Diceros bicornis minor: one gene and its partners. Each later gene encodes a partner of the first gene's protein in a complex. Links are inferred from orthologs where the notes say so. Each region holds a gene or a part of one and is shown on either strand. Other genes may lie near its edges.

Region 1 (7,115 bases):
CCAGAGAGATGGGCATGAGACAGGTCAGAGCAGGGAGGGGCAACCTGCTGGGGGCCGGAGGAGGAGGTGGCGGCTCTGGACCTCATGCCAGCCCTGTGTAGTCCCTGGTCACCCCCAGCATAGCCCTTTCCTCTCCCATCACCTGGAGCCAGCTGGACACCACCTCCCCCTGCCTTCCCCAGGGCTCCCTCACTGTCCATGGGCTCCCTCCCTCATCATGACTGTGACTCTCCTTACCTCCTGGGGAGACATGCCAGGGGCAGACCTCTGCCCCTCTTCTAGCCACTGACTCAAGAGCAAGGATGGAACCACCCAAACTTCCCGAGTTCAAGTCCTAGCTCTGCCCCCTTACTAGCTGTGTGGCCTTGGACAAGTTACTTAACCTCTCTGTGGCTCAGTTTCCTCACTGTGAAGTGAAGATTATAATAGGACCTACCTCAGTTGTGATGTGGTATTTCAATAAACGTGCATAGAATAGAGTCTGGCTGATAGTAACGGCTATGTAAATGTCAACAATGATTTCCCCATATTATGGTATTACCGCTGAGCCATCTGCTCACCATGTCCTGACAGCACAGGGGCTGCCCTGGGAGAGGGGACCCTTGGGGCACAGCAGTGCATGATGGGAAAACCAGGGATGGAGGTGGCCACAGAAGGAGTTAGAATTCCAGGCTGGGAAAAGGTGGTGCTCGAGGGGCCACAGCCCAGTCACAACCTCCACCTCACTGCCTCCCAAACCCTGAGGGAGAAGGACCCTTGCTAGACCTAACGTGGCCTCCAGTCCAGCCACACACTGGTCTCACTTCTCGGGTGGTCATCTTAAGTCCTCTGGTACCACCTGGTGGTGAGAACTGGTATCGCACCCGTGAGCCTCTGGCCAAAGTGGGGCTCCCTGCGCCTGCAGGCGGGTTTGGAGGGGAAGTGGGGGCGCCGCACTTACCCACGGTGTCTGTTGACATAAAGGTCTTATGCAGCGGTGACTGGAGGCTGACAGTGCCTGGGACACAGAGCTTGAATGACCTGTCCTCTTCCTCTATTTCCTCTTCCTCCCCTTTCTCCTCAGATGGGAAGCCTTCCTTGAGAGGAAACTGAGGGCATGTGGGGTCACTGAGCAGGTGGAGAAGGTGGGGCCCCCAGCCTGCAGCCCCACCCCCACCACCAACCTCCAGACACAGCACAAAGCAGCAGGGAACAGCTCCCAAAGGTCAAGAAAGGGCACTGCGCCCCCTAGGCCCAGCCACATTTCCTGAGGCCCAGCCAGATGTGGGGAGAGCCCCACCCAGGCTTCCCCCCATTACCCCAGTCTGGCCCCACAGACCTTTGCCGACTTCTGAAGCTGCTTGTACAAGGTGAGGAGGCGGTTCCAGGGGGTCGCCCCCACCTTCAAAGAGGCCAGCCTGAGGTCTCCTGTGAAGGGCCAGTGTCACTGACAGGCTGATAGCACTGGGGGGTAGCCCAGGCCCAGAAGGGCAGGGACATTGGCGGTGCTGAGCTGAGGTGGGGTCTCCTTGTTTTCTTTAGCAAATGCCTACTATGTGCCAGGCACAGTTCTAGACACTTTACAAAGAACACCTCATGTAATCCTTGCAACTACCCTCTGAGATAGGCACTATTATACTCCCATCTCACAGATGAGGAAACTGAGACACAGAAAGGTTGAGCAACTTGCCACTGTCACACAGCTGGGCACAGTGGAGTTGGGATTCGAACCCAGGCAGTCTGCCTCCAGCATTCCCTCAGACCGTCCCGTGTCCTTCCAGGCTCCACATCCTGTGGAGTCCTAGAGGAAGAGGGTCCATTTCACGCCTGTGGCCGCCACGTGGACTCACCATCAAGCAGACGCTCCTTCTCCTCCCTGGGGAAGGCCTCGGGGCTGACCTCCAGTGGCCCCACGGCCCTCTGCAGGCATCCTTGCTCCACCTCCAGGGCTCTGGCAAAGTGGCTCCTGATCCCAAAGCAGAGTCAGGTGGGGCCCAGAGATGTGGCAAAGGCCCCTGGACATGCCAGCCCCTCCAAGGCTCTCACACAGGCTCTGCTCAGCCCCCTCCATCCTCCTGCTCCCAACAGCTCCCTGCTCTGCCCTCTGAGGTCTTCATCATAGATGGGGGCTATCCCTCCCCAAAGGTAGGGTGGTGGGGAGCAGAAGGAGAAGTGGGCCCCCTTCCTCACAGGGAGTGGGTGCCAGGTCCAAATGGGAGTGGGAACTGGGAGGGACAGAGTGGGAGGGAAGTTGGGGGGGGTGGCTGCGGCAGAAAAGAGATAGGAAGCAGTGGGAGCCCACCCGGCCTGGCATGCTCCCTTCCCAGTCCCCAGCCTGTCCCCCTTTCATCTTTGGTGCCTCCATCCCTGTCTCTGTCTCCTCCCCACACCCCCATCTCCAGGCTCCTCGCCACCCAGGTATCTGGTTCCAGTCTGCTGCCCCTCCAAGGACTCACATTCCTGGACCCTCTCCAATCTGGGTCCTCCCATCTCAGGCCCACATCCTTCCACCGGCTTACATCCAGTAGCTCCATCCCAGGCCCCTTCCCACCATCCACAGCCCAGCCCCTCACCTGTCTGAGGTCCCTGTGTCCCGGGAGGCCTCCCCTGCTGCCTCCTCCTCCTCCTCTTCCCTCCCCTCCTTCTCAGACAGGTCGTCCAGCACCTCCTGGCTTCCTCTGGGCAGGACTGACTTCACCTCCACACCCTGGGCCATGACCTTCAGGACCTCCCTGGGGGTGGGGGTCTGGGTCCCCGTGTCCCCCAGCCCCGAGGGACCGTGCCGTGGCATGGCCACAGAGAGGATGCAGGGCACTGTGGCGGGTGGCCTGGGCTCCTTCCTCCCCACTCCTCGGTGGTGGTCCGTCATCAGGGGGATGGCGTCGTGCTCTTGTGAGGGGCACGCCCGACCCCTTGACAGTGCCTTGTCAGAGCTTTTCGGGCTGCTCTTGCTCCCCCTCAGGCTACGGAAGAAGCGCAACACGGAGGAGCGGCCCAAAATCCGGGATCGAGGGGTTGTGGCTGGGGCCTCCATCCTGAGGGGGACCCTGACTGAGAGGGAGGGGCCGTAGCAGCCACTCCAGGACCAACTGCTTAAGAACAGGAGGAGCTTTCAAATTAAAACCTCCAGTTGGAAACTTCCAGGAGTTCTAGAAGGCAAAGGTCAGGCAGGTGGGGGGAGTGATGGGGGGCTGGGGGGAGGACATGATGGCGGGGGTTAGTTGGGGACAGAGAGGGCAGGGGGTCGATGAGGCAGGGGAAGGAGGTATGGGAGCCAGACTAGGGGGTGGCTGGTGAGGCTCCAGGAGGCATGGGGGTGGGGGCAGACAGAGGAGGCTGGGGGGACCAGGGCCCTGAGAATGGAGCAGAGGCTCTTAAGCACCCTGCACACACCTCTCTCCGCCTAGCTGTCCTTCTCCAGCTGTGGCTGCTTCTGTCCTGGAGAACACTCCCCATGGCCAGATAGTATTTGTCCTCCCCTTGCCCTCCTCTCAGCACCCAGCTTGCCCATGCCCAGGTGGTAGCACAGACCCCACTGTGTTTTCCTCTCTGTTTACCTGGCTATCACCTTCAGGATTGTGTATCTCCAGAGACCACCGAGGTGCCTGGTGCACATGTCTTAACTGCTCGTTGAATCTCAATTTGGTATTATTATTCCCCACGGCCATCTACAGACCTGATTATACACCCAGCTCAGGGACCTTGGGAGAGTATCTTAAACCAGCTGAGCCTCAATTTGTTCATCTGTAAAATGGGTGTAGTCGACAGCGCCTACTTCCAAGGGTTGTGAGAAGATTCAGTGAGACAACGGTTGCTTAAGCGCAGGGCACTCAGTAGTGCTTAAGAAACGTCACCGTCCTTTTTTATTGGTGTTGATTGATGGAAGGGAGGGAAAGATCAAGGACAGGGGCTGGGAGTCAGGGGCTGAAAACCAGCAGGGGAGGGGGAGCCACTCTGCCTGCCTGGGGCAGAGGGTAGGGGGCGGGAGTGGCTCCCTGGGCCGTGTGAGCCCAGACCGCCCCCCAGGCTTTAGGCTGGTGCATCCGTATCCGGCGGCCACAGAGCAACTTCCTCTAGAGGGAGCTGATTTGAGCCGGGAGCAGCCGGCACCTCTATGATCGCCGCAGCCTCGCGGGTCCCTAGGGCCGCGCCTGGAGAAGCAGAGGCTGCATCCAGACACCAGGAATTCACTGACGCCCGGTTCTGGAAGCCAGGCCTGAGCACCATACCCCTGGGAGCAGCCTCGGCCCCGCTGACCCGCCCCGGGCCTGGGCCAGGGTCCGGGCAGGTAAGCCGGGAGGATCTTGCCCATCCTCCCCGCTCTCAGCAGTCCCAGGCCCAGGGTGGGGCAGCGAGCCTGCAGGGAGTAGGGTGGGGAGGGGGAGGCCTCAATGCCTGGGCAGTTCCGCCAACCCCTGCTGGGGGCCTGATCCAGCTAGGGCTCCCTCTGGCTGCCCCTCAGACAGCTTCCCCTCTCGCCTCCGCCCTGGGTGCCAGAGAATCGGGTGCCAAAGACCCAGGTCCTTTAGCGGTCTGGGGGATGGGAGTGGAGGTCAGAGCCAAGGTCAAGGGCAGGGGGAGAACTTTCATGGTGCTTCCTGCTGCCCCAGGAGCCCCTGGGCAGCCTGGCCAGGCATCTCCCCCTGGGAACATCCTGGGCCCAGCAAGTGGGGTGCAGTGGACTCCCCTTACCAGGAACTCAGGCCACTTGGATGGGGAAGGGGTGAGCCCAGGTCGGCACAAGGCCTCTGGCCCTGGGGGGCCGTTCTGAGGCTCTACCTGCTCCCTGGCAGTGAGCCCCCGGGATGGTGGTGGAGGGAGCCGGGAGTGCCATCAGCATCCTTGGGCCCTGCTGTCCTGGGGCTGCCGGGTTTCAGGGACCAGGGGAGAGGGAAGGGAGAACTTGATCAGGAAGGAGCTGCCGGGATGGGGGTGTGCCAGGCAAAGGTCTGTGTTACTGAGGTCGAGCGCCCAGGGGTGGAGGGGGTTCTGCCTTCTCCCCGTCCTGCTCTGAGAGGGTGGAGGGGTGGAGAGCTGAGTGCACAGGTGGTCCTGCCCTCCCCCACCCCTTCTCTTGGGGCACTTTCGAAAATGGCCCCAGGCCTGAGAGGGAGGCCGGCGGGGGGTACACAGGCCCTCCCAGGGAGAAGGGGGCCGCTCAGGGCGGGGCTGTGCCCTCCCCAGGGGTGGGAGGAGGGGTGCTTCTCGCCTGGACGCTGATGGAGGCAGCTTTCGGGTGGAGGGGAAATGAAGGGGGTACAAACTGAAAGTGAAACAGCTCATGTCCAGGAAATACTCCCTCTGTCAAGGGTTCATAGAGCAGATCGGGGCTGCGGCCAGGGCTGGATGAAGAGGAAAATTGGGGCTGGGACCGGTGAGCAAGCGGGTGGTGGGGGGTACATATGTGAGGCAGGCTGGGGGCTGTGAAGAAGGCCCTGGCTCTTGAGGGCTTCCTCTGCTCACTGCAAGGCAGGCGTGGGAAGAGCAGAGGCCAGACGTAAACAGGGACAGCTGCCCTGGATAGGACACCCTCTGATGTCCACAAACTGGAAAATAAATCTGACGTGAGTGTGTTGAGTAGACGGACTCACGGAAATTCAGATAACGGTCCTGACTGCCTGACCAGCAAGGTGGCCTTGGGCACTAACCTCTGCGCCTCACTTTTCCCACCTGTAAAGCGGGTATGTGATGCTTACCTTGCTGGGTTAATGTGCATTTTCAGTGTCCGGCACCCCCTGGGGAGTGCTCACACGTGGTAGAAGTATACCATAGGCGCTCAGGAAATGTTTGCGGCTAACAGGCCTGAATTGGAAAACAGGTGTGCTCTGACCAGCCAAGGGGAAGTGGGACCTTCAAGGACGGGCTTCATGGGTCATTGGCTGGAAGGTGGCGAGCCCGCGGTAAGCGTGTGTTGGTGGCGTGCACGAGGCCCCAGGAGCAGCTGAAAGAGCCCCCAGCCTCTGAAACCAGCCTCACTCGCCCAGGAGTGAGATGAAGTGTGACGAGATCCACTAGGCACTGCTGGGGCCCCTCCTCCCGGAGGCCTGGCGGCCAGGGACAGATCCCTGGGTGTGACTCGCGGCAGCCTCGCCTCTCTCGCGCCGGTCTCCCGTTCTCCCTGGAAAGGTTGCCAGTGAAACCCTCTCTGAGTTCTGATTCCGCCAGCAGACTCCACAAGGACCTGAGGTGGTGAAATAGGAGTGGCTGGAGCTAGGGCTGTGGGGTCTTTTGGGAGCGGGGGGCCCCTCCCTCCTATGTGGCTGTGGGAACGTTTTGTCAGTGGCCCCTGCTTGTCCCCATCTCTGCTTTCTCTCACCCATCCCCACAGGCTAACCTATCCTCCACTGGGACCTGAAAAATGGCGTCCGGGCAAGGCCCAGGTCCCCCCAGGCAGGAGTGTGGAGAGCCTGCCCCATCCCCCACTTCGGGTAAGGGTCTTTCCGCCCCTCACTCATCCCATAATCACCAGGGCCGTCTGTGAGGGTGCAGAGAGCAGAAGTGGACAGGGTCAGCCAGGACTTATGGGCAGGCTCTCCTGCCTCAGTTTACTCACCTTGGATAAATGAGAACAGTCTCTCCCCACCCAAAGCAGGTGGCTCCTTGGCCTTAGAAGCTAGAGTTCGGTCAAGGTTAAGCCCTGGGAGTTGGGGAGGAGTCTGGGCCAGGGAGGGTACAGAGGCTGGGAGAGGCCAGGGAGCGCGCATGAGGTGGGCACAGCGCCATGCCAGGGCAGCGGGGCAGGATGGGGGAGGGGAGGAGAGAAGAGCAGGGCGTGGCTGGCCTATCCCTGCCTGAGGAGAAATAAGGAAGTAAGTTGGCTTATCACCGAATCAGGTCTGCTAAACGGGGAAAGGGATTGCTGGGGAGGAAGTAAGATGGCTGCCCTTCTTCCCTCTTCCCACGGGACCATCGGGAAGCCTGCAGCCCACAGCCCACTACAGGCTGTTCCCTGGGCTTTGGGCTCAGCTCCCAGGTCTGTCCCTATTTCCCTTTGTGACTTTTACAGCCCCACATTCCCTAAGCCATAAGGGCCGGGTCCCTTGTACATGCTCAAACAAACTCGGGGGCCCAGAGGCCTGGGATTATATCTTGGCTTCACTGCTTGTTCTAGCTGTATGACCTTGTGCAAGTAAACA
Region 2 (7,496 bases), about 2.4 Mb from region 1:
GGGGGAAAAGCACGACATCCTGGGGCTGCTCCTTTTGAGAGAGAGTTGGAAGATCCACAGAGAAGGGTACGAACCCAAAGCAGGAAATTTTTATAGGAAATTTCAGGTCAGCCCTTCAAGCATTCAACTTGGGCCCCACTATTTCCTCTGAACTTTGTAGATCTGTAAATATTTGCTTTGGGCTCGGCAAGTTGTGTGATCTTGGGTAAGTTCTTAGCCTCTCTGGGCCTTCTTCTCTTCCCTTGTGAAATCCCTGTCCTGCTCCCCTCAGAAGCTGTCAGGCCGTCAAATGAGGGACTGTGCTTGGAAATACTTTGTAACGGTGATGCTTATCTTCTAACCTGCAAAATTCCCGTGGGGGAAATGGTGGAGACCTGGCCTAACTAAAGTGGAGGACAGACGGACTCCAACAGGCGTGACGCAGACAGCCTGCCACGATGACGCCTCCACCACACAGCGGAGTCTTTACAGGGAAGCCACCAACAACAGAAATGGTTTTCTTTGACACTCCAGTCAACCCATCCAAAGACAATGTGCCTAGAGTGGCCTCTGCCAGTTGCCAGCTGAGCAGTTTAGGGGCAAACAAGCTTCCCTGTTTCCAGGCTGTCTGCAGGTTTTTTTGCCCCTCACTCCCCTCCTTCACTTCTCTCTCATTTTTAAATCCTGTTTGGCTTTTGTTCCTTGACTCAGTCTACCAGCTGATTCCCTCTCAGGTGAGAAAACAATTAGCGCATAAAATAAACACCCTGCAAAATAACCAACTAAATGCCTTTTAGCTATTCTTTGACAAACACATAGCTCCTCCCTTGCATATCTTTTATAATATGCCCATTCGTTATAGGGAATTAGATTAATAGAGCATTACCAATTTTATTAGGAGCAATAACAGTGTTGTGGTTGTGTATGACTGTCTTTATTTCTTGGAGATGCATGCTTATTTAGGGATGAAGCATCCTTTTACTTGAAAATGGTTCAGGAACAAAATTATACACACACACACACACACACACACACACAAAGCAAATATGGCCAACTGTGAATAATTGTGAGTATATGAGTATGCCTTGAACTATTCTTTGCACTCTCCTATATATTTAAAAATATAAATATAAATTCTATATTCCTCTATTCTATATTCTTTCTATAAATTTAAAAAGACTTTTAAAAAGTCCCATTCGCATTAACACACAAGGCATCTGCATTTTGAGAGCGACCGTGCCAGGGCTAAGCAGCCGTCCAGAGCAATCCATCTCATTGGTGACGGCCACCCCAGCTGCAGGCAGAGGACACTAAGTGGATTCCGACTCACGGTCAAGCTCTGTGAGCTCCTCTTCCCGCTGGTGACCTGTGACGTGGGCAAACACCTCTGAGAGTCCAGCACCCTCGCCTTCGATGGGCAAGGCCTGGTGGAGAGCAGAATCGCCCCCGCCTGGAATAAAGAGGAAGGCAAATGTGTGTTGGTGTGGGTGTGCGTCAGTGCTGTTCTCCTGACCTTGTTAATCAACACGATAAAACGGCAGAGAAGTCACAGCAGGACAGACGCTGCAGCAGCCAGCTCTAGCCTCCACCAGAACATCAGAGACCCACCGAGATTTCAATTCGAAGAGGCTGCCTCAACCCAGACATCCTTCCCCCAACCCACAAAATATCCCGGATCTTCCTGAGGTCTCTTCTCCCATTAAAAACACAGTGAGTTTTGAGCACTATGGGGCAAATCTCCATCCTTCTCTAGGTGTCTATAGGGCACCCAACTCCAGGATCCTAGAGTCAGAACAGGAAAGCACCTTGGGGCCAGCTCCCTCATTTTACAAATAAGGAATCAAAGGTTCCAGAGAGGGGAAGCAACTTGCTCTAGGTCACACAGCAGGTTTATTCCTAATGGAGGCAAGTCTAGAACCAAAGTCTAGAACCAACACCCCAGCAGCTGGCTCTTTCTACTTCCCCACATCCACCCCTAGTCCTCACATATGGACTAGTTGGGGGGTAGGTAGGGCTTCCCTCCTCTCCTCCCTCCCTGCCTTCTCATTTCTCCCTGGTCCATCATCCCGGAGCTGGAGTACTTAACAATAACAGCTATCGTTTATGGAGCACTTTCCATGTGCCTGCTCTGGGCCGGGCCACCCCATGAGACAGCAACCGTTATTATCTCCATGTGATGGATGAAAACAAACTGAGGCTCAGAGAGGGGAGTCGCCAGCCCCAGGTCACACAGCTAGTGCATGACGGAACTGGGGTTTGACCTCAAGCTCTCAGCCACAGTGCCATTCTGCGTCAGAGAAATTTCCCAGTGGTGTTGTCCCTGATAGCTGCCCCAGCTTCCCAGTCCCCGCACTTGAGAGGTTTGAGGAGCTGGCTTAGAGCACCCTAGCCCTTGGGGTGGGGCAGTGGGGTTACCATAGAAACGGGCATGGTCTGCTCACCCCTGCGAGCTGGGCCCAGGTCAGCCTCCTCGGAGCGCGAGGCAGCAGCCGTCCCGGGCAGCCCTGCCTCTTGGCCTGCCACCTCCCGGTCTTGGGCCCCCTTGGTTTCCTCACCACGTTGCTTGTGGCCATGTTTCTTGCGGCTGGCCTTCTTGTCGTGGGCTTTCTTCCTGGAAGCTGGCTCCCCCGGTGCTTCAGGGGCTTCTGCAGGCTGCGAGAGGCCCTCCTTCCCCTTTGCCCTCCTGCTGGCCTTTTCTTTGGGTTCCTCGGGGCCTGTCCTCAGGAAGAAGTTCAGCAGGGTCTTCAGCCACCCCTGCTGGGCCCCTCTCTGGGCCTTGTCTTTCTTGGCGTCCTGCAGTGGCCTCTGCTCAGTGGGGAGAAACTCTTTGGTCTCCTCCCGGCCGAGGGCTGCGGCCGTGGTGCCCTGAGTCTCCGCAGCCTGAGCTGGGCTCTCCGGACGTCCGGGCCCGTCGCTGACCGCCCGGCGAAGTGCCCTCCTGGAGGGGGTGGTGGACAGCGAAAGGCACTGGCAGTCCCACGACTCAGAGTCCTTCCTGGGGTTCTGTGACCTGTCCAGAGACCTGGCTCTCCTCCCTGACTGAGGCCTCCTCGGGCCCCGTGGGCGCTCCATTGCACTACAAGCAAAACAAACAGCTCCCTTAGGAGAGGCCGAGCAGAGCCCCCGAGGGGGGCTGCCAACGCTGGCCGGCGCACCCAGCCACCCTGCCCACAACCGGCAGTAAAATCCACTCTCCACCCTGTTGTCTCGTTTCAATTCCTCAGCAACCCGGGAGGGTGGGGCATCCTTGTCCCCATTTTCCAGAGGAGGAAACTGGACTACACTACCACAGGAGGTGGTACCCCAGATCTCACAGCCAGTCCGTAGCTCCCCCGAGCCTCCAGAAGGAGCACAGCCCTGCCAACACCTTGATTTTAGTCCTTTGAGACTGATTTTGGACTTCTGACCTCCAGAACTGTAAGATAATGAATTCATGTTGTTCCAAAGCCACTGAGTTTGTGGTATTTGTTACAGCAGCAACAGGAAGCGAACGCGGCTGGAACAAGAGGCCAAGTCCTGCCCCTCAGGCCTCAGGCGGCTCGTGCCCCTTTTCTGGCCCACATGCCCGTCTGAAACATGCCCGAGACCTGCCTCTCTGTCTCACAGGCTGCTAAGAATATTTCACAAGACAGCTCCGAAAACAGCAACTCTCTTCTCCCAATTGCTCAGGCCAAAAACGTGAAGTCATCCCCCACTCCTCTCTTTCTCTCTCTCCCCGCATCTGATCCAGCAGCTGATCCAGACCTCAGCCACATCTCCCACCTCCTCCACCGGGGTCTGGGCCCCAGCTCTGCTCACCTGGACTGTTGAGGAAGCTCCTAACTGGTCTCCCTGCTCTACCCGTGTCCTCCTTCCAGAAACTTCTCCCCTCGGCAGCCCCGGGGGCTTTACAACATGAGTTAGAGCATGTGGCGCTCCTGCCTCCATGGCTTCGTTTTCATTCAGAGTCAAAGTCCTTCCAGTGTCTGGCAAGACCCCACACGACCTGGCCCCATTACCTCCCCAGTCACCTCTCACTCACTCTCTCTACTCTGCTCACACAGCCCTGCTCACTGTCCCTCAGGCCGACTCTGCCTCAGGGCCTTGACACTGGCTGTTCCCTCCTTCTAGAACATTCTTCCCCTAAACAGCCTTATGGTTTGTTGCCTCACTTGCTTCAGGGCTCTGCTCAAATGTCACCTTCCCATAGAGGCCCCACTGTGCACCCCCATTAGCACCCTGTCCTCCCTTACCACCTGAAGTTTAATTGTTTATTGTCTGAGTCTCACTCCCTCCCCTTTCTCTATTTTGCTAGGTCTTGTATCCAGAACAATACATGGCACATTGCTGGCACTGAGTAACTCCTTATTAAATAGATAAATAAATGTATTACACACACAGTCAACTGTCCAATACAGAAGGTGTCTCTGTAGTGCAGTTAACATACAATAAATGTATTTGGATCAGTCGCACATTACAGCTGGAGAGTCCCTTCCAGTCTCCATTTAGAATGAAGCAGCTGCCCACGGAAAAGACGAAAGAACCACCTCCTCCTGGGCGGCATTTGAAGCAGGCCGGGGTGTGTGCAGTTCATTTGTGTGTCTGTGATCTGAAACTCCTAGGGCTTTCCAATTTTTCTAAAGTGTTCAGAAACCCTTTGCCCTTTGGTGGAAGTTAAAGGAAAAACCAAATATGGTTTTGAATCCCAAACCTGAGCTCCCAGAGATTCCTGTGGAGTTTAAATTCATGGATTGCCTATTCTAATTTGTAATTACAGCCTTCTCAGGCATTTACTAAGTGTTATTGAGTGTATTATGTATTTATGTATGTATTATGTATTTACATCACATCTCCTGCATTTACCAACTGATTCATTTACTTTCAAATGTAGTCTATTACTATGTCCAGCTTAGAGGCAAAAATAAGAATCTATAATTGCAATTTCAGATGTGGGGGATCATTGTGAACGTGAGGAAGATGCACAAAGAGAGAGAAGAAAAGGCACGCGGAATCACAGAGAGGTTTGAAGGTGACAGTGACATTCAGGATGCCTTCCCTCCTTTGAGCCCTGGTCTGGGGAGGAAGGACAGAGACCATCGATTACCACCAGCACAGCTGGGCATCCACAAGTGGACAATCTTCGAGGAAATCACAAAACAGGCCAGGGAAGAGGCAGGCAATTCCGAAGGCTTTATTTGCTATTTAATGTTCCTTGAAAGGAACATCTGGGTTATATGCAAACTTCTAGCAATACACGTCTATATCTTATGTGGAAATTGACTAATGTTCTTGAAAGCTTCAGAGGCTGCCTTGCTGTTGTGCTTCTGAAATACGGTGTGGGGTGGGATAAAGAGAAGAAATCATAGAAGAAAATATTTTTCTTTCTTCTCACTTATTTCTTTCTACAAACACTAATAAGCACCCACTATGTACCAGGAATTATGCTCGGTGCGAGGGATATAATAATAAACAAGATATAGGGTGTGCCCTCAAAGAGAATGTTCTGGTCTTCAAATGGACAGGAGTGGGGTTGTGAGGAAGTGGTGATGACAGAATGCCCTATTCCCCTCATATCTGCTCTCTCTCCAGTAGCATATGGTCTTAAGAGAAGACAAATTTAGGTGGAAGGTCTATTTGATTTTAAGATCCAAGTAAGCTGAACTAGAAATCTTTACTGAATGGTGTCAGAGTTCTCCGCTTTTTCCATATGTTCCTGTGGCCAGGGCAAATTGGATGGGGTTGGAAGAGAAGCTGTTCAATAACAAAACCACCAAACCAGCCAAACAGACAGGACACCCTCTTTCAGCTCAGCCCCTTTTCTTCACATGCTAAATTGGCTCTAGGGGGCCCATTGCACAGAGGGCCGGAGCATCCTTCCCAGCTAATGGGAAAAGAGGTGCAATAATCGTTTAGAAACCTGTCATTGCTATGGAAACGGTTTTCGCCATTGCTCATGGTCGCAGTGGCCTCCTACCGCGTTCAAGGGACACATTGCTACTTCTAATCAGAGCATCAATACAATTCTACCGGGCAATATTTTCCTTTTTGATGTTTTTTCAAGAAAACTGCCTTGATTTGGTGACCCCCTCCCTGGAACTACAGTGCCCTGAGCCCAGAGGGAGGTGAGGAAGACTAAAGAGCCACATGCAGCAGCTGCTGCGGCCCAGCAACAGGGAGAGGCAGGATGAGTGATGTGTGGCCTTAGCCATCCAGGAGGTTTCCCCAGTAATCTCCCAAGGCCTCCTAATTTCAAATCCAGTGACCTCTTCCCATTCCTCATCCTCCCTCAAGGTCCTGTGGCCTTTGATACCATGCCCGCTTCCTTCTTGAAACTCTCTCCTCTCTGGGCAGCTGTGACCCAGCTCAGCCTGGCTCTTCTCCTACTCTCCGACTGCTCCTCCTCTGTAATGTTCCAAAGATTCTGTCTTGCAACACCAGGCCCGGGGGGGTTGAGAGAGTGTGGCTGGCCAAGGAGGGCAAACCCACCCACCCCCGGGGTGATATGCTGGAAGATCCTCTCTGTAGCAGATGTGTTCTCAGACTTTTAGTCTCCAAGCTCTGAGAAGATTGTGTTTTAATATTATCTCCCCACACAAACACTAAATTCTGTGTGCTGAAATTAAATCTTTCCAGACTTGCTGACTGCAAAATTTTGCCTATCCAGAATTCATCAAAGCAAGACTTTCTTCCTCTTTTTTCTTGTTTTGTGCCCCTGCTTTGCCTGGGCATGTTCCGCCTGACTATCGGGGGGTCCAAATGCTGTCCGGGACACGCTTCCAGACCAGTCACCCTGAGACTGCGTGGAAACCCGCTGCTCTTGTAAACTTGTTTATTGCCTTGGCAGAAAGTGGATTTCAGAGCAAAGTCCAAGTCGGCTCAGAAATACCCAGGTGATCTGCAGATCACAAGACTTCTGGTAAGATGTGACGTACACCAGCAACGTGTTTAAAAACAACAGCAAAGCCCCAGAGGAGGCACCCAGAGCTGACCTTGAGTTACTGTGGAGCAGGAAATTTGCCAATTTTTCCCAAGTGTGCTGCCGTTTTTGGTTGCTTTTCTAAAGTATACACCGACCTCATCTATACTATTCTCTCATTTATTCCCAGACGCGTTACTCTATAACTGCTCTGGCGCCGTTTCATAGGGAGATCTTGCCACTCCCTTCTCCACGCCCGTAGCTCACACAATCAATATTTAACCAGCAGCTGGCTGCGCCAAGGAGGAGTGTGTGTGGCACACACATGTGGACCCACAGTCAACAGCCACAGACAGACACTCATTGCTATAGACGGAATGTCTGTGTCCCCCCAAAATTCATGTGTTGAAACCGAGCCCCCAAGATGATGGTATTAGGAGGTGGGCCTTTGAGAGGTGATCAGGACTTGAGAGCAGAGCCCAGTCTGTGGTAGTTTGTCATAGCAACCCAAACGGGCTGACACTCATATGTCACCGAAAGACACTCCTGTACACTATAAACCTACGTGCACCCATAACGCCCTGCCCCAGGCGTAAGGGAATAATTATTTGAGTATCTATTT
Region 3 (7,317 bases), about 2.5 Mb from region 1:
TATTTTTATGCTCCCTGCATTGTCTCTATTTCTTGTGGTTCCTTTTTCCCCCCTGATGCTTACATGTTGGAGATTTTTTATTTTTTCATGTTGAAGGTTTTACTCTGGTATCTAGTGATTTTTGTCCATTCATATTTTAAGAGTGAAGTCCTAAAAGCTGACTGGAGGCCTGAGTGCACATTTGAGTCTTGTCAATTGAAGGGATTCACTGTAGGCTTTTCCTATGGAGACGCCCAAATGTCAGTATTGGTGGCTCTTTTTTCTGGTATGGTTCATTTTTTCCTGAAAAGTACTCTATTTTCTGCTAGAGAGTACAACTTGGCTGCGAAGTTCTGTATGTGAGCAGGAGGAGAAGCTTGGGTGTCTCATTCTCAGTTTCAGACTTAATTCCTCTCTTTGCAGGACGATGTCTCACTCCCACTCTGATCTATGCCCGGTGTCCCCACATCTAGAACTTCTTTGGTTTACTTTCTCCAGAGGTGACATTTCCTGTTTCCTATAGCGGTAAAAGTAGTAGCCCAATTCTATCAGGTGCAGTGGGGACCTGGGGATCTGACCACTTATTAAACAGATTTTCAAACAAATCTCCCTCTTCAGCACTACACTCCTTCCATCTCCACTCTTGTAAGTTCTTTCTGCACTTGACTGGCTTCCATTTCCTGAGTCTTCCCAGAGTTCCTCAGGGTGACCTGCCTTGCTTCTCCTTGGTTTCTCCTTCTCTTGGGTCTGCTAAGTCCTTTGCCATCCTTCATCCATTTTCCATTTTCATGCATTGTGGTTTGGGATGACTACCAGTTCAATAAAAATGAAATTTGTGTTTGTGGGGTCTTTTTCCCCCCTCCTTGTTATTTTTGAGAGAAGTGGTGCAGAAAAGATCTCAGCTATCTTGAACTGGAAAGTCTTCAGTGTTTTTATTTTTAGTTCTTCCAATGCCTTGAGTTTTTTACTGCCTTTGGGCTTTTGCGTTTGGTGTTCCAGCTCTCTGAAACATGTTCTTTTCCCTTCCTCATCTTCCCTCCTGGCCAATTCCAAGTCATCTTTTAGGTCCCAGCTTAAACATCATTCCTAGATGAGTCCTTCCTGACCACCCAGCCTAGGTTAGGTCCACTCCCCATGGTATATTTTCATAACACATGCCACGACTCTAATTAGGTGTATATGCCTGTCTCTCCTGCTAGACTGTCACCCCCATGAGGGAAGGGATCATTTCTGACCTGTTGACCGCTATATCCCCGGTGTCTAGTACAATGTCTGGCATTCAGTTAGGGATTAATATATATTTTTCACTATTGATCAATATATATTGTTTGCTATAAAGACTCGTAGCTTAATTGACAGTTGCCACCATCAATAAGTAGTCACTTAGAGTTCAACAATCCTAGTTATTGTTATGGAAACACTATACTGTAAATATGGACTCTTGTCCATCTCCAAGTTTATTTTACAATGAACACTTTTAAAATTATAACGTACTGACAATAATATAATATGCACTCAGATCAACATAGGGTGTAAATTTTCTATTCCTGCTCTTAGAAATTACCACAGACTAAGTGGCCTAAAACAACACAAATTTATTATCTTATAGTGCTGGAGGTCAGAAGTCTAAAATGGGTTGGTGTTCCTTCTGGAGGCTCTAGGGGAGAATTGGTTTCCTTGCCTTTTTTAGCTCCTAGAGGCTTCCTTTGTTCCTTGACTCATAGACCGTTTCTCACATCACTCTGACCTCTGCTTCCATTGTTACACCTCCTTCTTTGACTCTGGCCCTCCTGCCTTCCTCTTATAAGAACACATATGATTAGGCTGGGCCCAGATAATCCAGGATAATCTCCACTTCTCAACAGCCTTAATTTAACCACACCTACAAAGTCCTTTTTGCCATGTAAGGTAAAATATTCATGGGTTCTGGGGATTAGGATGTGGACATCTTTGAGGGGCCATTATTCAGCCTACCAGATATAGACAGCAGTGTGAACCCATAGATGAATTAGTTGCTGCAAGAAATGATAAAAGCTTCACTCATATATATTTTAAACTTTATGTCGGAACAACCTTCAAGCAAAGTAGATAAAATAATTTTATTAAGTGAAAAATATCATAAATATATATTGAAATAATAGGACAAGATACCTAACATAAACCAATGATTATTAGATAGACAACATATATGAGTTCAATGGTTGCCTAGGCTTCCATGTGCAAATCCATTATATGCTTTTGTAAATCCTGGGGTTTCCTGGTATTTTCAGGTAGGCACACCATGTCTTAAAGGCAATTATCTAATTATACTAACTAATTATACTATATAAAAGAGCATAGTGTTTTTTTTACATACATTTAAAAATAAAATTTAGATGAAAAATATAATTAGCATTGATTATTTTTCAATAAATACCTCAACATCCTGCAGAATTGTTTGGGAAAAATTATATTATAATAAAAACCTATTTGGGGAAAATCAAGTCCAACATTCTTGATCGTTTAATTTAAAAGACCATGGTTAGATATTTTATTCTCTGTTATCTAGCAATGTCATGTGAATAACTAGTACAAAATGACAGTTTCACAATGGGCTGATGGGTAAAGCTGTCAGTTGGCTCTTTCAGATAAGAACCTCACCCCATAACTGCATCTTGACTATCAACTTTGCCCACTTAGTAATTTAATAATTTTATCCAGGGCTGATCTGGCTCTGATGCGTTAGCCGGAGAGCATGTCATTTTCTCACTGGAAAATTTATTTGAGAAACCAAATTTAAGGTCAGAAGGTTGCCTGACGAGTATAGTTAAAACGTCAGGCTGCCTAAGACATCAAGAATGCCCAGGCACTCACACCCCTTCATCCCACAACCCTCTCCCCTAATCTGGCCCAAATTACAATAATCAAAATATTGAAGTAGCATTCTACACAGGAAAATGTGGTACATTTGAAAAATGATGAGTCAGAATTCTGCTTGATGATTCCCCCCTCTTATTTTATGTAGCTGAGACAGCTGCGTATTGCCTTTCTCTCAGTCATTTCTTTTCAATTCTTGCTTCTTCCTCTGAAGGTGCAATACAGCTTTACTGTATTTACTGTCCAATGCAGTAGCCACTAGCCACGTGTAGCTACTGAGCACCTGAAATGTGGCTAGTCTGAATTGAGATGTATTCTAAGTGTAAAATACATGTCAGATTTTGAAGACTTATATTAATGAAAATATAAAATATTTCATTAATAATTTTTTATATTGATTGCCTATTGAAATAACATCATTTGGATTTATTTTGGGATATATTTGGTTACATAAAATATATCGTCAAAATTAGTTTTACCTGTTTCTTTTTACTTTTTTAATGCAGCTACTAGAAAACTTAAAATTACATATGTGGTTCATATGTTTTTATTGGATAGCACTGATCTAAGGCTCCTGAAGTCCTCCCCCGTTACCTTCTTTAGTCATTCTTATCCTTTCTTATCCACGGTCTGACCTCTCTTATCCATTTCTTCCCTTTCCAGTAACTGCTTAGATTTAGAAGGTAAAATAGAAAGTCAAACCCTGTGGCCAACCTTTAAGTAGAGAGAATTAAGTGCCCTGGTAGACAATGAAAGTCTTAGTTCAATTCTTCAATTTATTGGATTGGTACTACAATGTTAGGAAAAAACGGAAGGGGCTGGAGAATAGCCTTCATTAGTGTCTGTAGAGGTGGACTGTGTGTTTATGTATGTGGAGGATTAAAGAGAGAATACCAGAATCATTCTGGGTAGGAAACACACACACACACACACACACACACACACACACACACACACACACACACGCACATACCAGGGAGTAAGACAAAGAATGTATCCCATCTCCAAACCTCCTCACTTTGGATTTTTGATCTGTTTTTCTTTTGGTTACACTAATTTGTCTCTCCTTTTTCTGTGTGTACTAATTTAGACTGTTCCCTTGATGGAATGTGGCTATTGAAAAGATGAAGAAAAACTGCGGGGAGATGAGGATGTGGGTGGTGTAGCAGATCTAAAGACCAAGCAACACAGAAAGATGTTTATCTAAGTTGAAAAAGACCTTAGAGATCCCCCTGTTCCATCTTCCACCCAAATCTATAACCCTTTTATGTATGGAATAAAGGCTGCTTGTATTGTTAGAACACCAATTTTCACCTAACATACCAAATATATACTGAGAAATGGGGAAAATCCTCTGAAAATGTATTTTTCAACAGGGAAAAAACATGAAGAAAATATATGATGCCACTGTTTGTGAACCTAAAGAACTTCTGAATCCCTCTCCCAAAGTAACAAATTGTTGCAAATCACCCTGGGTGAAATACAGTTTTCAGAAGGCATACATGACCCAACTTGTCAGCTCCCAGCAAGTTTCAGCCATGTCAAGGAACGCCGGTAAGATATTATTTGTATTAAACTAAGATAAATCTTCTGCTTAGGGTACATTTTTCTTGATATTGAGGACATAAAATTGGGCATTAGATTATTTAAACATTAACTGTAAGAAGAGAGTGGTAAATCTATTCATCAAAGTTTTTAGGAGGTAAAAATGTAAAACCGACTTTGCTTCCTGGTATTAAATCTCTTAGTTTCTGTTAACGCCGAATCATTGATGTTACAACTAATTAGGATGATCTCAAATCTACTGAAATAGATCAAATTTATTTTTTAATAAAAATTTGTCTTTACACTTGACCTGACGGTGTCTGCATTGGTAAGGTGGGGAAAATTCAGTTTAGGTTCCTTCTTGATTTTGCCAGTATAGGAAAGAACATGAAGGAACGATAAACTTGAAATTTTGTTTTGCAAAAATGTATGATTCCTAAATGTCTTAGAATGTTGGAAAATTAAAGTCTTTTGTTTTGAAGAGCATTAAAAAATGTTGGGGTTAAATTTATGGAGTTTTAGACTTTTAGATTAAAAATATGCTAAACACCTGAAAGGAATTATTAAAACTAATCTCAAACTACTCTCCAACTTAAAAAGATTTACATGCCACTGAGAAAGTGGAAATTTCAAGCATCCTGAGCGTCTCTTGCCACCATATCAAATGTGGTATCCGTTTTCTAGAAAGAACTCAATTGACTAAAGTTTTGAATTTTCATCTGTGCAAGTGTCAACAGTTATGTCTCAAAGCCTGAGATTGTCACCTATGCGTACCTTCTAGAACATATATTTTTTTTTGAGATGTAATTCATACACCATAAAGTTCAACTTGTTAAAGTGCACAATTCAGTGGTTTTTAGTATATTCACAAAGGTGTGCAATCGTCACCAGTCTTCTAGAACTTATATTTTATTGTAAACCTTTTCCAACATGTTTTCTCACTCGCTATACCACTTGATCCTCAGATTGCTCCTAAAGCTGATGGGTACCTTCTGAGGTGCCCTGTGGGCGGTTGCCACATTTACCCAAAATGCTTTCGTAATTACAGTTTCACTTCAAAAGCAGAAGCAGGGTGAAGAATTAATAATGCTACTACCTTTGATTATAAATAATAAGTAACAGCCAACTACTTAATCTACACGTTTTTCATGCCTAGAACGCTCGCTTTACTGTGTATGTAAAATCTTCTTTGTGACTGGTATTTTAGTCGGGTGGGCCACCAGTGTGCGTTCAACGACTGTCAATCAGAAACAAGGGCCCCCCCCCCATTAGAGGTGGTAGCGGACACAAGCCTCCCTTTTCCTCCCCACGCTTTTCCTGGCCCAGGAGGCAGCAGCGCCTTTCTCCCTTTATACTTTAGGATATCGCTGAAGAAGTGGGGGATGTGCAGACTGAGGGGGCGGTGTGAGAGGGACGTGGAGTTAACTACTATAGACTCGAGAAGGCCAAAGCCAGGCTAATCAGGCGCCCGGCTGCGTACTCCGGGGACCGGGTCTCCCCGCCTCCCGCTCGGGTCAGTGGCTGGAAGCGAGCCAAGCGCGCCCCTGCCGGAGACCGCCCCCGGCCGCGCGCGCACCCCACGCGCTCCCCATTGGCCACAGGGGGCCACGTGACCTCGCCCGCCGAAACCGCCCCGCGGAGCGCGCGCTTTTCCCGCCGGTGAGCTGGCCTGGGCGGTGCGGCGGGTCGCGGGTCGCGGCGAGGTGTGGAAGGTTGCTTAGACGGCCCAGGGAAGCTCTTCCGCCGGGCACCTTAAAAAAAAAAAGGCCCTAAGTACATCCCAAAGTAAAACTCTTACTGAGGAAGCTGATTACTGAGAATGTCGCGTTACTCCCTCAGTGGGTTTTGTCCCAGGCTGCAACACAGACCTGAAAATGGAAATCACAAGCCATTATTGAGTGGAAAGTGACCCGCTGAAGCCAAAATTTATCTCTGTTGCTTGGGGGAAATCTACACGTATGAACATAACTCTTTGGGAAAAAAACCATAATTTTTGTATGGGGAACTTAAAGCCACTTTTTCTCAGAAAAGTTGAGGGGGTGGGTAAGAACTTGGGAAGTCCAGAGCAACCATCCTGATACGTCATTTAAGAGAAATTAGAAACTCTTGGGAAAACGAAAATGAGTAAAAACAACAAGAGGCCCTGCCCAGCTCTAAAAACGTAATAATTATTAATAAGAAAGGGCAGAATTAAAAACATATATATATGTATATATGTATGAGTATATGTAGTGTGAATGGGATTTATTAATTGTAGAAGTCAGTAGAGTCCAATTCTTCAGCTTCTTTCTCCCTTTGAGAGTGCATGGATGTTCATTTTTGCCTCTTTTTTATTTTTTTGCCTCCTAGGCTCAGCAACTCTTCTCCCTCCTCCTCTAGATGGACACATTTTCTTTTTTTATTCATTCAAAAAAATACTAGGGCCTACTATTTTCCAGGTACTGTGCTAAGTACTGGGGTGACAATGGTGAACAAAAACAGTAACAGTCCCTTCCTTCCTGGAGTGTACAGTCTGGTAGAGGAGGCAGATAGAGGTCAATTACATGTACCAATGTTAATAATAATGTGATAAGTGCTAAGAGGAGGTTCAGATGATGTAATGGGGCTTTGACCAGCAGGGAGTTTGGAGAATCCTTCCCTCAAGGTGTAACCCTGGACTGAGACCTGAAGGGGTTAAGGGAAATGAGGGTTGCAGCAGAGGGAGCAGGTTGTGCAAGGGGGAGCTGGTAGCCTGTCCCCTTCCAATGACTGCCCGTGTCACCCTTTTCCACTATACATACATTAATCTTGCCTCTTAGTTCTCAGAAGACACTTTTTTCTTTCAATTCCAAGTTCTTAGGGAATAACTCATAACCTATAATTATTGTTATAGATAGTGTATATCCAATAGGTAAGTATACTACTATACACATCTAATATGCATGATCATTTCTGTTG

Evidence for each region.
Region 2: the proteins of BAK1 (region 1) and BNIP5 are in contact, whole or in part, in a crystal structure (PDB 8IGC), measured with the Homo sapiens proteins. The link is inferred for Diceros bicornis minor from reciprocal best matches to the Homo sapiens genes BAK1 and BNIP5. Residues at the interface, in NP_001179.1 of Homo sapiens: Leu78, Ile81, Gly82, Ile85, Tyr89, Glu92, Phe93, Met96, His99, Leu100, Tyr110, Lys113, Ile114, Ser117, Leu118, Ser121, Asn124, Trp125, Gly126, Arg127, Val129, Ala130, Phe134, Ala180, Leu183; in NP_001010903.3 of Homo sapiens: Ile246, Ile247, Gln248, Met249, Ile250, Val251, Leu253, Leu254, Lys255, Arg256, Val257, Gly258, Asp259, Gln260, Trp261, Glu262, Glu264, Gln265, Ser266.
Region 3: the proteins of BAK1 (region 1) and PXT1 are in contact, whole or in part, in a crystal structure (PDB 8GSV), measured with the Homo sapiens proteins. The link is inferred for Diceros bicornis minor from reciprocal best matches to the Homo sapiens genes BAK1 and PXT1. Residues at the interface, in NP_001179.1 of Homo sapiens: Ile81, Gly82, Asp84, Ile85, Asn86, Arg88, Tyr89, Glu92, Phe93, Met96, Leu97, His99, Leu100, Tyr110, Lys113, Ile114, Ser117, Leu118, Glu120, Ser121, Asn124, Trp125, Gly126, Arg127, Val129, Ala130, Phe134, Asn182; in NP_694535.2 of Homo sapiens: Ile78, Ile79, His80, Lys81, Leu82, Ala83, Met84, Gln85, Leu86, Arg87, His88, Ile89, Gly90, Asp91, Asn92, Ile93, Asp94, Arg96, Met97.

The regions. Positions count from the first base shown.
Region 1 is NC_080753.1:30,951,073-30,958,187, forward strand, and holds the start of BAK1 (bcl-2 homologous antagonist/killer), read left to right. Parts: upstream 1-4,047; 5' UTR 4,048-4,267; intron 4,268-4,333; exon of another isoform or gene 4,334-5,353; intron 5,354-5,386; exon of another isoform or gene 5,387-6,165; intron 6,166-6,307; 5' UTR 6,308-6,337; coding exon 6,338-6,407; intron 6,408-7,115. Other genes in the region: gametogenetin-binding protein 1-like, read right to left, coding at 941-1,088, 1,319-1,407, 1,830-1,945, 2,553-3,013. UniProt on the Homo sapiens protein: Plays a role in the mitochondrial apoptotic process. Upon arrival of cell death signals, promotes mitochondrial outer membrane (MOM) permeabilization by oligomerizing to form pores within the MOM.
Region 2 is NC_080753.1:28,533,100-28,540,595, reverse strand, and holds the start of BNIP5 (protein BNIP5), read right to left. Parts: upstream 3,052-7,496; coding exon 2,535-3,051; intron 1,430-2,534; coding exon 1,310-1,429; intron 1-1,309.
Region 3 is NC_080753.1:28,455,086-28,462,402, forward strand, and holds the start of PXT1 (peroxisomal testis-specific protein 1), read left to right. Parts: upstream 1-4,220; coding exon 4,221-4,389; intron 4,390-7,317.